Linked DNA regions of Pelodiscus sinensis. The protein of the gene in region 2 purifies or fractionates together with the protein of the main gene of each other region. This does not show direct contact. Links are inferred from orthologs where the notes say so. Each region holds a gene or a part of one and is shown on either strand. Other genes may lie near its edges.

Region 1 (7,732 bases), about 75 Mb from region 2:
AATAGGAGAGCTTTAAAATGAATTAGTGCTACCAAAACCAAAAACTACTACACTACCCCCTGCAAAAAACCCACAAAGGATAATTAGGAAAGTGGTTACTGTGAAGTCAAAATTTATCTGCAGTTATCAAACAGTAGTATACAGAATTGCTGTTGGATCTTAAAAAATTACTCTATCTTGGAAAATGCTGATTAATGGCAACTCCCATATCCACTTTTTGTGCAGACATATGAATCCAACAGCTTAATAGTGGCTGATTTCACAAGCCATTATAAATGTATGGAAAAGAGCTAAAAACTGCAAAAACTTTTTAATCAATCAGAAATTCCTTAGGACTGACTAGGAACAGAATGCCAGTATCAAGCTATTATTTGTTCCAATGGCCATGGAATTACCTTCCAGGAACATTAGACGAATCAAGAGTTCTCTCAACATTAGGAACACTACAAAACCTCTCTGACCAAAAACAAAACCAACCCCACACCCACCCACCCACTTTCCCACCATAACCAGTGTATCAGCATCACTTCTCTCCAGACCCCTTTCCAAAAGCACTACATTTAAGAACAGCTTTCTAGAACCACAAAAGAGAAGAATCAGAGGCTGCTTGGATTCTACAAGGGTTTTCAACACTACCAGCGTTTTGGAAGTGGCAGATTCTTGGTTATCATAGTAAAGAGTAGCTGTACAAAATCATAAAACTGTTTTCTTTTCCCTACCTGACAATCAGTTTAAAAAAAACTGAAATCAAAGTGTGTCTTGTTACATCTCAATTTTTGTAACACGTTTAATTAGCAATCCTGCAAGCAGGTTTCAAAGGGTCTATCAAGTAAGGATGTCAAGGACTAGTCGACTAGCAAATGCGTCTCGGTCATCTGAAGAAGTGGGCTGTGCCCACAAAAGCTCACAATATCATCTACTTGTTTTGTTAGTCTATAAAGTGCTACCAGACCTTTTGTTGTTTTTTAAGTTTTTCCTGTACAGACTAACTTGGCTACCCCCTGAAGCTTCTCAGATAGTGAGTTGACTACAGGCAGTCCCCGGGTTACATGGATCCGACTTACATCGGATCCCTACTTACAAATGGGGTGAGGCAACCCCGCACTAGCTGCTTCCCCCCAGCAGACCAGGGAGACGCGGAGCAGCTTTTCTCAGCAGACACCTAAGCTTGAGAATAAAGGACTGAGGGAAGTGAGGTGTGGGAGAATAAAACTGAGCTCTGGAAAAATGTTTGGCTAGAGTTTCCCCTACAATATGTACCAGTTCCAACTTGCATACAAATTCAACTTAAGAACAAACCTACAGTACCTATCCTGTACGTAACCCGGGGAATGCCTGTAGTCGATTTCTCCCCTCCCATCCCACCTCCCTGCGCCTCTATCACACAGAGGCAGCAAAGAGTATGCATGAAGAGGGGGTATTCCAAAGCAGCAGCACCACACAGCTGTTCCCAGGCTCAGCTGTGTGGCGCTGCCACTTTGAAACAGAGGCAGCGTTTCAAGGTGGCAGCGCTGCTGCTTTCCCCCAGGTTCTGGGGAAATGCCACACGGAACCCAGTCAGCTGGGGAGTCCCCGCTGACAACGGGCTCCTTGCTTCACTTCTGCTTAGAAATGCACAAGAGTCCCCACTGGTGACTCTTGTGCACTTCAAAGCTGGCACACCCGCATGCAGCCTGGAGTCAACGCAATTTCCCGCTGGCCCTTAGCTGCAAGCAGAGTTCCGCATGCCTCCTTTAAAATGTACAAGAGCCCCAGCGGGAAGTTCTACAGAACTCAATGGTTTAGGCTTCTTAGGCTATACAGAGAAACCTTACCATTATATGACAAAGACTTTTAAAAGAACATGTACTTTAATGCCTCTGGATACGTATACAGAAGAAATTCCATATGTGCCCCTGATGAAAACACATTTCTATCTCCAAAGATTTCAACTTCACAGCCAAAATTTTCAGACAGATGGGAGCATTTTTTTTATACCAGCTGTTTGCAAAGTTACATTCTAAGACTGTTTTATCAAACCAACACAAACAGTGCATTTAGAAAATCTCTGTTTAGAAAAAATAATCCCAGTTACTACTTGTGGATTAAGAAACACTTTTTTCATTTACAGATCAATTTTTTAAACAGGAACTCTGAATCTGTGTATTCAGTCTCAAGCGCAGTATGGCCTTGTTTGAGGTTTCATATTGAAATACACAATTGTAATTTGTGTTTAACAAATGACCACCTTTCAAATGTAAACCAACAAAATACCATCTTCACAAACCTGCAGCTGTGGGGAGAGATTAACCAGATTGTCTTTCAACAAGCTCTTGATTGGCAAAGCCATGATATTCACATGTGAGAAAGTCTTCACAATCACGAAGAGGGCTTGGAAAAAAAGCCTCTTTACAAACATAAAGGTTTACATTCTACAGCAGTGGTTCTCAACTGCTGGGCCACGGACCAGTGTCAGGCCCATAAATTGCAGGCTGCAGTGGCTGAGAGTCAGGGCTAGAGTACGCCCTGGCCTGGCCTCATGAGCTGCTGCACAGCAGCCGGCTTCAGCTCCAGCAGCCGCTACCGAAGCGGAGGCCATTCACCGTAGCCCCTCTAACATTTTATTTGCATATCTGTGCATTCATTATTTGCATAATGAGTATGTAAATAAAATATTACCAGTCCACCAAAAGTTTGTGAAGGAGTTTGCCAATCCGCAATACAAAAAAAGATTGAGAACGACTGTCCTACAGAACTCGATGGTTTAGGCTTCTTAGGCTATCCAGAGAAACCTTTCATTTCCCTGCTAGTCAGAGACAGCTAGAATTGTTCTGATACACCCAGGAAACCATTCTTCATTTGAAAATTTAAAGCAGTATTTATCACAACATGTGAAGTATACTTACAGACTGTCCTTTTTTGTGTTTGCGCCTATACAGAACAGTCCAGTTGATCTGACGGGGGTTTCTCTTGGAAAGAAATGCAGATTCGCATTTTGCATTCAAGAACTGGAAAACCTAGGGAAGCAAATTTATTTTAAGGCAACACTGTTATGTTTTCTGTAAGGTATCCAGGCCTGTATGTAAGAATTTCTGTGTGTGTAGGGTGTGTGCGCTCTTTTTTTGTAAATGTGGACCTCAAGGGTGGAGACTGTGGAAAGGTGCTTTCGCACCCCGTGCATATGGGTCTGATAATCTTTTGATCTCACTAATGCATTTAAGTGACATCTGTAGCTTTTTTATTTTTAAATATGGCCTCAGCTAAAACTTCAACTTGCATCCCTGCTTTCCATCTAATCTTCTGAATGGCCAATGAAAGCATAAACATTAAATACAAATTTCAAGACCATGTTGGTTATGGGGTGTGTCAGGTTAAATATATGTCCGACTCCTCAGCTATGTACAATGATTTTCCTGTACAGAAGAACTGGGAAGCAAGTAGTTCTTTCATAAACTTCATGATTCATGCTTTAAAATCCATCCCTGACATAGCAACAAGGAATGCTTAACATAAAAATGTCACCAAAATCTTTCCCCTCATAACATTCATTATGTAAAGGAGATGTGGAGAACCATTTTTGTTTCAGCACCATGGGGAGACCCACCCCGCGCAAGCCTGAGGGGCCAGATCCAGGCAAGCCAGGGGTCGCATGGAGCCTCTGTGCCTGAGGTTCCTCACCCAGATGTAAAGCTACACTCTCAAAGAGTAGACAAACCACTTAGGTTGTACTACACAACTGATGCTATGTCCTAAAAAAGCCATCTCCACCTCGGAAGATGAAAACCATCAGTTGTATCTTTTAGGCTAGTATTTGCAGTGAAACTCATTTAGCACTACTCCAGGAGGAAGTGGAGGGAGGGGTTAAATTTTAACATCACAGAGGGAACAGGAGAGCGGCTATCTGCAAACAATGAGCATATCTAAAGTTTCATGTTAACAATCTGGACCCCGCAAACGCCTTCCCACTCAGCATACTATTCCTTGTCAGCACAAACCGGTGAATCAACCTAACCGGGATTGAAAACTTCCTTGGTTTCAGACCCCATTCTTAAAACCACCGCTTCCCAAACCACGAGTCCACGAAGACTATTCTTTGCCCGGGACACCTAAGTACAGATGCTACCTGCTCCCGCAGCGCGCAAGCTTTATACACGACAGACCCACCCCCCCCTCGCCAGGGCCTCCAGGGCGAGCCCGTGGCTTCCATTCAACAGCCAGGAGGGCGCCACTCAGAAACTGCCGCCATTTGGCCCCGACCCGTAGGCTCCGCGCCGGGCCTCACCTTGCCGTCCGTGCGGGCGTAGCGGCGGCCGTGGCCCGGGTAGATCTTGTAGCCGCTGAAGCTGCATAGCTCGACCCTGCGGGGAGGGGGGGCAAGAGGAAGCAGAGCGGGTTAGAGGGGCGGGGCGGCCGGGCCCCGAGGGGCGCTCGGCTCGGAGGATGGAGCCGGATGGTGGAGCCGGTCGGGCCGGCGACACTTACTTCATGATGGCGGCGGCAGCTCCAACTCTAGCGAGCCCGGCAGCCAAGAGGAAGAGAGGATCATGGGAAACCGCCTTCTAGACGCGGCGCGGGGCACCATGGGAAACGCGCACCGCGCAGAGCATCACGGGAGGAAGCGCCCCCGTTTCCCCCCTGAGGGATTTCTTCCCCCCCTCTCTCAAATTCGCTTTAAAATGGCCGCTGGCGACGCCGCGGGGCCCCTCGTCAGGGGGTTGCGCAGCTAAAACGCCCAGAAATTATTTTTTCTCCGCGCATTAAAGCAGCCAATCAGCGCGCGGCGCCTCGTTGCCTGGCGTCGTTAGCAAGCGGGAAGTATGGCGGCGGCGGCGGCGCGGAGCGAGGCGCCCACGTTGGCTCTGGGAGCCAGCGAAGGTAACGGGGCGGCGGGGACCGGACCGGGTGGGCTATGGGCTTGCTGGGGGACTCTCGGTGGCAGGACGGCGGGGCCTAGTGATTTATCTTCGGGCCCAACGTTTGTTAGGCTGCTCGCGCGGTGCATCGTGGGATTTGTAGTCCACCCGCAACACAGTCTGGCCGTGAGCTCGGGGAGTGGACGACAAATCCCAGAGGGCTTTGCGCTCTCACAACACCGCTCCTGGTGAATAGGTGCCGAGGCAGCATCTGCTAATTGGAAGGGGAACGGTCCGCTAGCGGCCACGCCTGGAGCCTGCTGCTCCCAGCCCGTTAACGGGGCGGCAGCAGCAGGCGTGTAAGGGCAGGCTGGGCGAATCGGTCCCTTGCCCACTCATGGCATGTCGGTGTATTTGTGCGGGTCTTCTCTCTCCAGCATGTGGGGGGGGGGTACTAATGGGGGTCTGACAAAGCAGTGAGACCACGAGACAATATCACTAGTGTCATCCACTTTCCTGCTGCCCGGGCAGCCCTTGCCCAGTGGTGCTGAAATTAGGGCTGTTAGTGTGTAGCTCTTACATGATTAACTGATAAGCCTAGGCTCTCCAGTTAATTCTAAAGTTTACACACTCCCCACCCCCTGCTGCCTCTGTATCAGAGGTAGCAAGGGTGAGGGGAGGGTTTTTTTTTTTAAACCAGCGTCCTGCTCCTGCACAGCTGCCTCCAATGGAGGCAGCTGGCAGGAACCAGTGCTTGAGAGGAGCTGGGTCCCTTTGAACACCAGCTCCTGTCTTCCCCCCACCTCCCTCCCATGTGTAAACATGTATCTGGTAATAAATCCAGTGATTACATATTTACACAAACATCCCTAGCTTAAACTGCCTGCTGCAATTGGTTGGGTTTAGGATGTAAGGGAGGTGCTGTTGTGAGACGGCAGCTAACATCCGGTCCTATAAATGATACAATTATTTGCTCTTGTGAATGGCTGTGCAATGCACAACTTGCAGATGCTTGAGTGCCACCTATCATCTTTCGGGCAAGTGTGGATGCTCCTCTGAAGATAGCAGTTCTTCTCAATGTGTAGTTCTCCGATCCCTGTCGTCATCGATAGAAAATGAGTATGTAATAATGAAGTAGCTGCAAAGATCTAACTCCCAGTATGCACTGTCTTCATTTACATTGTGAGCTCTTCAAGGCAAGAACCTTGTCTTATATCTGTAAAGTGCCATTCATATTTATAGATGAACAATAAACATTTCCTAACATACACTGTTCACTGATGAAAGGGAGCTTTCCTTTGTGAGTGGAAGAGGTTAGGCAGAGAGAATCTTATAAATAAGAAATATCCTGTACTGTCTCCCTGAATTTCCAGACAGCTTCCATGTCTCCATTGCTGATTATAACTTTTCTAAGTAGTTTTAGCACAGCTGCTTTTCAGAATTCTGTGGAGAACAGTGAGCTCAACAAGTAATGTGTGTTTAACATTGATTCTTTTGGGAAAGTAAATAGCAGACATACTTGCTAGTTTTGTAGTTATCCAATCAGTTCAGTGATTGAAGACTGTTCTTTGCCAATAGTGTCTCTTTTTAACTTTACCATGGGTACAGCAATAGTATAAGAATATAGTCATATAAAACCCATATTGATAGAGCCCTGCAAATCTGTGACTATCCATGGCTCATTTTGATGGATGCAGACAGAAAAAATTGTATCTAGAATCCTGCAAATTTACAGATAGCTCAGCCGAGCCACCACAGAGGGAGGGGAATGGGGTGAGGCGGTGATGTACACAGCCAGGGGGCGGGGCTGTGTACGTCACCACCCCCTTCCCCTTCGGCTGTGGCACTTGGCTGAGTGCTGCGCCCCTCAGCCGGGCCGCCGGAGGAGCCAGCAGTGCAAGGGGCTGTTTGGACTCCCCTGGGGTAGGAGGGGAAGGTAGGGCAGTGATAAAATAAAATAAAAAAATATAATGGAGATTACCTATCTCCTAGAACTGGAAGGGACCTTGAAAGGTAATCGAGTCCAGTCCCCTGCCTTCACAGTAGGACCAAGTACCACCCCTGACAAATTTTTGCCCCAAATGGCCTCTGCAAGGATTGAACTCATAACCCTGGGTTTAGTAGGCCAATGCTCAAACCACTGAGCTATCCCTCCCACATGGCCCTGGTCCCAGTCGCATAAGTCACTGCCCCTCCCCCCCCTCCCTCGTGGCAGCCCAGCTGAGCAGGCAGCACTCAGCCAAGGGCCACGGCGGGAGGGAAGGGGAAAGGGGGGCGGGGAGAGAGAGGCAGGAGGAGGACGAGAAGAGAAAGGGAGAGTGAGAGGCAGGAGGGGGAGGATAGCTGGGGGGGCGGGGGGAGGCAGTAGGAAGAGAGAGAGAGAGAGACAGAGCAAGAGAGCTCAGGAGAGAAGACCTGAAAATCCCGTCTTATGACGGGCTAATTGGCTAGTAGTAGATAAGAATGGGAGAGTGGTTTAAGTCTGCTGTATATACAGTATCTCCTAAACTGAGCTAATGTCTGAAAGAGATAATTGGAAACCATAGATCCTGAAAATCATTAGTGATCTAAATTTCACTTATCTTGGAAACTGCATCGTTTCTCAGCTCTGTTATAATGACTGCCTTTGGCTGGAATGTGTTCACTTTGTCCAAAGAGTTAAATGGTGGTCTCAACTTCAGAATTTTGTCTTGCCCAAAACATATTTGGACTCAAGTGTTGAATACTTTTAGCGTGTACTATCAAATGCATCTATTTGCTCAGGCTTTCCACTAGAGGCACTGCTGGAATTTAGAACATTGCATATTCCATCACTTAGAATTTTCCCATTTTTGGTCCTTATGGGAAAGTTAGTTTGATGCTGTAGAGCTGTTCATACATTAAAGTTAGCTGGAGAACAA
Region 2 (7,128 bases):
AGATGGATGGCAACAATGTTGAGTAATTTTAAAAAAAAGTGTATTCACTCCATTGATGCTAGCTGGCATACGGAATTGGGACAGATATTTTGTAAATGACAAGCTCTCTTTCAGATATCCAGCATCTTCACTGGGGCTCAGTCTATTTGAAAATCCTCTTTTTTTTTTTTTTTTTTTTTTTAATGTCTTAGAAGTGGGTAATTTACTCATCGTGTAGTCAATAGGATTTTTATCACTACACAATTAATAAGGTAAGAAGCACTCAGTCCCGGCTCGCACCAAGTCCAGGACCTACGCTTGCTTCATGCTGCTGCCTCCCAGGTAAGTGGCACCGCGGAGACGATGCTGAGGGGGAACTAGCTTTTAAGCAAGCTCCCAACAGCAATGGCTCCTGTTTCCCCTCCCATTTTGCATACTCTGATACAGAGGCAGCGAGAGGGGTGGGGAAATGCGAATAGTCAACGTGACTAACTGATAAGCCTAGGTTTTATTGGTTAGTCAACCACTTTCTTACATCCCTACTTCTAAGCCCTCATCCTCCCTATACCTAAGGCTATGGGAATCTCACACATTTCTGGGAACTGGCACAACTTGTTCTGAATTACCTCAGCCCAGTTTTGCCCCTTTTTATGTTCCATATAATCATTTACCAAGGATGACATTACACATACAGTATCCATATATTTTTTATCTCTTACTTTTCCTGAATGACAGGGGGAGGCAGCTGCAGTATGCCATGCAGAAAAAAATTCAAGGATCTTTTCAAATACTAGTTCTGTCCAGTTCATTAGGAGAAAAGAGCTCAAGAGAAAAAATATTCTAAGCAGAAGATGATGTGTCAGAGTAGCAGACCACAAAGAACAAAAGGCTGAGACTGCAAATTATGCAGACAGGCTATTGGCATCATAAAAACACAGGCCATGAAATGTGAACAACTAGTTCTGAAATAGAACTACTGATCTTTGTCCGTAGACAAATGTTTGAGGGCTTTACCGTCCCTACCGATCTTTGTCCGTAGACAAATGTTTGAGGGCTTTACCGTCCCTTACACGGGACTGGCACATCCAAGAATGTAAACAGAGAATCATTTGTTAACAGTCCCACTCTAGAATTCAACCAGTCCTTTACTATTCCTCCACACCTTTTGTATCCTTCCTGGTTTCTAATTAGTTAATGACTTGGGAAAGTTACGCAAACCTATAGGCTATTATATTTTAGGATACCAACTTTGATTGTTTAAACAAGGTCTGAATGAGTTTGGAAAGAAGACTATAATAACGCACCTTGCTTGCACAGACATATTCATTTAGCCCAGATGCCCAACATGATGGAGCTGTTTTGCCTAAATGATCTCTTTTGGAGGAGGTGTTGGATTGCAAGTTACTTTATGACATGCAGAGCTAATATAATGTTGTTACTGTTGGGGTGGAGAAGCAGAACTGTGCTTGGCATATCCCAGTTGAGGGCTCTATCCTCAACTGAACAATATTCACAAAGCAGAGAGAAGGGATGCCAAAACCCAGTGGAAATGAGGGGGTGGGGACAAGAGTTTGTACTTGGTGGTGGGGGCTCTGCCTAAGGGTCTTAAGTACCATTTGACTTTCTCTCTTGCCACTGCAAATGATCTCATTATAGCCAAAGATGAAGCTCAGGAGTCCATACTGATATTAGCTCTACGTGCAGCTTTGGATACTAGTGATCATGAGGAGTTATTGACCAATTTGTTTGCGGACCCACATGATAGTAGATGAGGCTGATTTTAGATGGCTGATGGTTATCAAATGGCTCCTCGTCTCTAAAAGTCATATCATGAAGGTCTCTACTTAGTTACCCCTCTTCTTCATTGTAAAGTATGTATAGAATCAGTGAGATATGTGAGGAAATATTGTAAGACCATCATTGTGGTGATCATACGGAACTCTGACATCTTTTCATCTCACCCAGCCAGAGTGGTAAACTGCATTACCTTGTATCTGTATGAAATCAGAACATGATTGAGCTGTAGTTCAATCCAAAATTACTTGGATGATATTAAATACAAGATGTTATAGGCAAAACATTATGTGAAGAGAGGATGGATAAGTGAATTCAATCTGAGACTTATGAACCTCCGGGTGCCAACTCATAGAGGACTCGGGATACAGAGACTTTTACACTGATCTCCTGGATCAGAGATATGCATAATATTTTACCAAAAGGTGGTATGTGAGCTTTCTACAAAGAGCCAGTATCACATTAGTGCATTTATTAATATCAGCAGAACTGACTTAAATGGGGCCTGGGTGTTGCCTTAGACTTTGTATTCATACCCGTCAGTGTGAAAGAAGCTATATGCACATATATTTGCATGCATATGCAACCACACTTAAGTTGCGGCCCTCAGCATGTGCTGTGAGTATCATTGTGGCCCTCGGGGCTTCCAAAGTCGAGTAGCCCTGAGCTACCTGCTGCCCAGAGATACAGGGAGCTGGGACAGGCTTGCTCAGGCTGAGGGCAGATGGTAGGACCCTGGCAGCATGACCCCATCACAACTAGAGCCCCCACCCTCCCAACAGCCCTTCTATTGGCCAGGGACGTATTTAAAAGCTTGGCGCGCGCCCCACTTGCCTCTCGCGCCTACACCGGCCCTGGGAACACGCCAGCCTGGAGTGGCACAAGCCCCGCGCCGGCCGAGATCCTCCCACGGTGCGTGGCCGCAGCCAGGCTCCTCAGCCACGCAGGGCCCGCCAAGGGGAGGCGCGGCTCCCTGGCGAATCAGCGGACAACGGGACCTGGGCGGGAGGCGCCGCTATCTCCCCAGCGGGGTTCCTGCCCTACAGCTCATCCCCCTCCCCCAGCGCCGCGCCCTCCTGCCCTCACCCGTCTCCGTTTAAGCTACTGGAGGCCACGGCCGCTGCTAGGCGACGCCATCAAACACCGCTCAGCCGGCGCCGCGGGGGACCCGGATACACGCAGATGAATCAAAACTGGCGGGGGCCTACAAGCCCCAGCGTGCACAGCGCACCCGGCAGAGACTGCCACTCCCGGCACGCACCGCGCCACGAAGAGCGAGGACGTTTTTCAATGGCGCAAAAGAGGCCGCGGTGGAAGAAGGGGGAATCTGCCACGCCTAAGTCTTGCGAAGACTACATTTCCCGGCATGCCGCGCGTCCGCGCGGGGAACTACAGGTCCCAGTACACTAGGCAACCTTATACCAGCCGGCACGCTGGGACCTGTAGTGTGGAGGGGCAGCTCCCGGCAGCCTTCGGGAAAGTAGTGGTTTTCGCGCTTGCGTAGTACACAAGGGAGCGTCCCTTGTAGTCTCCGTGTAGCGCGGTGGCTGTGGAGCGAGTGATGTTCATTGGCGGCAGGGAGAGCGTGTTACCCGCACAGCGCCAGGTAGGGGAGCGCTGCGAGGGCGGGTAGCGGCAGAGGGGGCCCGGCCGGAGGAGAGGGGGGTGTTGCTGGAGCTCACCCGCCCGGTAGCGGCTGCCCCTCCCGTCTCTCGGCATGGGCAGCCGGGCGGGGCTGCCGTCTCCAGAGCTGCCCCTGCTCTCGAGTCTTGCCTCAGCCTGGGCTGCGAGGCCCTTGGGTGCGGGCCCTTCGTTCCGGGCCCGCCTCAGCTGTTCGCCCCTCGCCGCCTTCGGGGACGGGGCTGTTCCCCACTTGCAGAGCAGGGGGTTGCCCTCGGCTCCGGCCCCCTACGCAGCTCGGCGCCCCGGGAGTGGCAGCACTGAAGTGCTACTGGTCACTTTTAGCTGGCATGTGGCGACAGGGGGCTTCTTGGGGCAGGGACCAGCTGCTTGTGTTGTACAGAGCCTTGTCCGGCAGGTCTCCCCGTTCTCCATACAAAGAAGCTATGGGGATGTCTACACTACAGAGTTTTTCGGGAAAATGGCCATTTTTCCGAAAAAAACTCCAATTACATCCACATTGCAATTGCGTTCTTGTGAAAGAAAATCAAAAGAACAGCGGGGGTTTTCCAACATTGGTAATTGTCATTCCACGAGGAAGAAGACTTTTTCCTAAAGAGCTCTTTCGGGAAGTGACACGTGTGTGTGTGTGGACGGGGAAGAGGGAATTCTTTTGGAAGAAGGAAGAGGAAAAAGCACAGGAGCCTTGGTGGCCACTCCATCCATAGTAATCACAGCTGAAATGAAAGATATAATGCACATGGCTTTTTCGATAGGCTTTTGCAGTGTGGATGCTGTCTTGCAGAAGTTTTTCTGGAAGCTCTCTTGTGGAAAAGCTTCTTCCAAAAGAAGCCTGCAGCCTAAACACAGCCTATAGGGAAATATGAGGACTATTCAGCAACAAACCCAGGAGCACACAGCGCTCAAAGCTGAGCTGGGTTTCTCTCGTTACAATTCCTGCTATGTATTCTTTCTTGGACATAGATGTTGTTGCATACGTGTTTTTGGCAATTATGGGCAACACCTGCCTTACAACAGCCCAAGTTCCAACCCCCCTCACTTACAACCATTTTTTAATACGGAAGGGGCTAATAACCCCCGACTTATGTCCTCGGCCCGCATTTATGATGGTGCCTATTGTAAACATGGGTTCGAGTTATGATGCCCCTGACTTGCAATGCTTCCCCCAGAAACCGATCGTGTCACAAGTCGGGGGCTGCCTGTAGTCTTTCCTAATGTGCATATCTGTCTCTAATTCTAACTGCTCTCCTCCAAGAGGTGCTCACATTCTAATGGCTTGTCTTCACCCCATGGAAGATTGCCACTGCTGCAATTGATCATCTGGACTTCAATTTAGAAAGTCTAGTTAAAACTAGATTCCCATAGGCTTTCCTGAACTAGACTTGCTAAATCCAACTCAGAGGATGCCCCCGGTGGCATCTGGTACTCCTCTTGTGAGGAGTAAGGGAAGCCATGGGGATACTGCCAAACTTGACTTAAGTTGCTGTACCCTAAGCTGAGCTCCCAGGTATAGCGTATACCTGGCTTAATATAGCTTCTTCAGAGCTCGCTTTTGCTCTCTTTTCTGGGCATGGCGCTGCAGTAACCAATCCAAAGTTAAATAAAAGCCGTACTTAGGCCATGTCCGTGCTAAGAGCAGCTGTGCCATTATAGTTCTGCAGAGTAGATGTTTTTTATATCAAGGGAAAGATCAGTCTATCAGTGGAGTTAAACTATCTCTCAGGGAGGTGGGATGGACATCTGGTTAAGACGTCTACATTTTTTGAGTCAATATAACTACATTGCAAAGGGTCCGACATTTTTCATAAACCTGGGGGGATAAAGCTATGTACAGTAGATCTAATTTTTAAGTCTTATTAAAGACTAGCTGCCAAGCCTTACTCAGCAGCAAGGAGCAGGCGGGAATATATAGAAAACCAGAGGAGACTGTACTAAACTTCACACTGATTTAATGCCCAGTCACTTATATTGGTTGTGACGACAATGTACGTAAACGCAAAATACTGTATTGTTGGAAAGAAAAATTGAGCTGTTCATATACCATACAAAATTCTGAGTTAACTATCAACTTAGGAGATGGAAAACTTATTGAAGGTGTAGCGTGCAGCTGTGGTCGAAGGCAAAGATGATGTATAAAGAACAGAATGGAGAATCCTACAGCAAATATCCGATTATAAAAATATACATGTGGTATCATTTAGTAAACTATGTGCAGTACCAGAACCAGTCGGCCTGTTTTAAAATTAATATTATAGATTTAGGGAGGATTTTGAGACAGGCAAAGAAACTGGCAGAAGGATGGAAAAACTCATGAGAGATTGGGAAGGCTCTAATTAACTTCCTCAGAAAGGAGATGAACAAGAAGAGATAGGATTCAAGTATACAAAATAAATGGTAAAGAGAAGTAAAATGAGAGGGTCTGTTCTATATGTATCCTAATACAAGGAATTGTGGGATAGTAAAATTAAGTGCTAAAGTTAAAACTAATAAGCATAATTAAACTGGTGGAACTGTGACTGTGTAGATACTAAGGATGTGAACATGTGCATGGTTATCCCACACTGGTAAACTCTCCTCCACTGCACTGCTGCGTCTGTACCGGCATGGTATGAACCGTGTGGGTTTTAGGCTTCACAGCACCAGTCTCTCCCTAAGGCACCACCAGCTCTGGAGGCTCAATGCAGTGTCCAGCTCCCATTGTCCAGGTCTCTGGCTGGATTACTTCTGGAACTCCTGCAGCAGATCCTTCTTCTCTGGCATCCAGCCCAGGCAGCTGAGCATCTCCCTTTTATACTGCCCCAGCACTTGGAGCATGCCCGGTTTGGCTGGAGGGGTGGGACAACTTCTACCCAGAGCAATTGCGCTGCAGGCTCTGCTGTATAATCTTTATACTGAAGAGCCCACAGCATGTAACCTAACTAACTGCTTTTTAACATCCCAAAGCTTTACACATGTTATACACAATTTAACAGGATAATGATTTTCAGTAGGTTATGAATTTTCAAATAATACATAAGAAATATATTAGTCTTGTAAAAGTGGAGTATATGTGGTACCGGGTGTCACAAGGGGTTCAGAATGTCAGTGTGGTGTAATATTTTCACATTGCAAATACTTAGACTCTTTGCTAGCTCTCCTGCAATGGCTGTTTCACCAATGTCAAGGATAATCTATGAGTCAAACTCACAATGCAGTGTTGGCTGAGAATAGTTGATATCCCAGCCACAAAAGAGCAAATCCATTCTGATGATAGAGATGTCAGAATCCCCTGTCAGCTTAACTCAGTGGTTGGCAATTGTGGCCCAACAGAGTTCTCTGATGGCGGGCCTTGAGATAGTTTGGTTTGTTTGTTAAGCAGTCTCAGGCACTTCTCTTCTTCCCCCATCCCCGCCCAGCTCCCAATGGACATGGTTCACTGTTCCTGGTCAATGGCAGCTGCAGGGGGCTGTGCCTGCAGATGTTCACCATGAACAAACTGTGTTGTGGTCTGCTATGGAGGCGGAGGGAGGTCAGCTCCATGTGCACAGCAAGGTGTGGGGTCTCAGCTAAAAGGGGCAGGGCCAGGAGCAGGCAGCCCTCCATGTTGCATGCAGCGTAGTTCTCAGGCAGTGATTTAAAGGGCTGGGGCTTCTGGCCACTGCTGCAGCAGCTGGGAGCCCTGGGCCCCTTTAAATCATGGAACCTTGGGACAGCTACCCCCTTCTGCTCCCCTTC

The links. Proteins that work in one complex are often made in the same cells at the same time.
Region 1: the proteins of CEP290 (region 2) and CEP97 purify together in Homo sapiens (co-immunoprecipitation; 4 studies listed by BioGRID and IntAct, with this or other methods). This does not show direct contact. The link is inferred for Pelodiscus sinensis from reciprocal best matches to the Homo sapiens genes CEP290 and CEP97.

What each region holds. Positions count from the first base shown.
Region 1 is NC_134711.1:151,732,331-151,740,062, forward strand, and holds the start of CEP97 (centrosomal protein of 97 kDa), read left to right. Parts: upstream 1-4,714; 5' UTR 4,715-4,796; coding exon 4,797-4,854; intron 4,855-7,732. Other genes in the region: RPL24 (large ribosomal subunit protein eL24), read right to left, coding at 2,886-2,996, 4,262-4,337, 4,462-4,466. UniProt on the Homo sapiens protein: Acts as a key negative regulator of ciliogenesis in collaboration with CCP110 by capping the mother centriole thereby preventing cilia formation. Required for recruitment of CCP110 to the centrosome.
Region 2 is NC_134711.1:76,742,985-76,750,112, forward strand, and holds the start of CEP290 (centrosomal protein of 290 kDa), read right to left. Parts: upstream 3,014-7,128; 5' UTR 2,860-3,013; intron 2,838-2,859; exon of another isoform or gene 2,608-2,837; intron 1-2,607. UniProt on the Homo sapiens protein: Involved in early and late steps in cilia formation. Its association with CCP110 is required for inhibition of primary cilia formation by CCP110.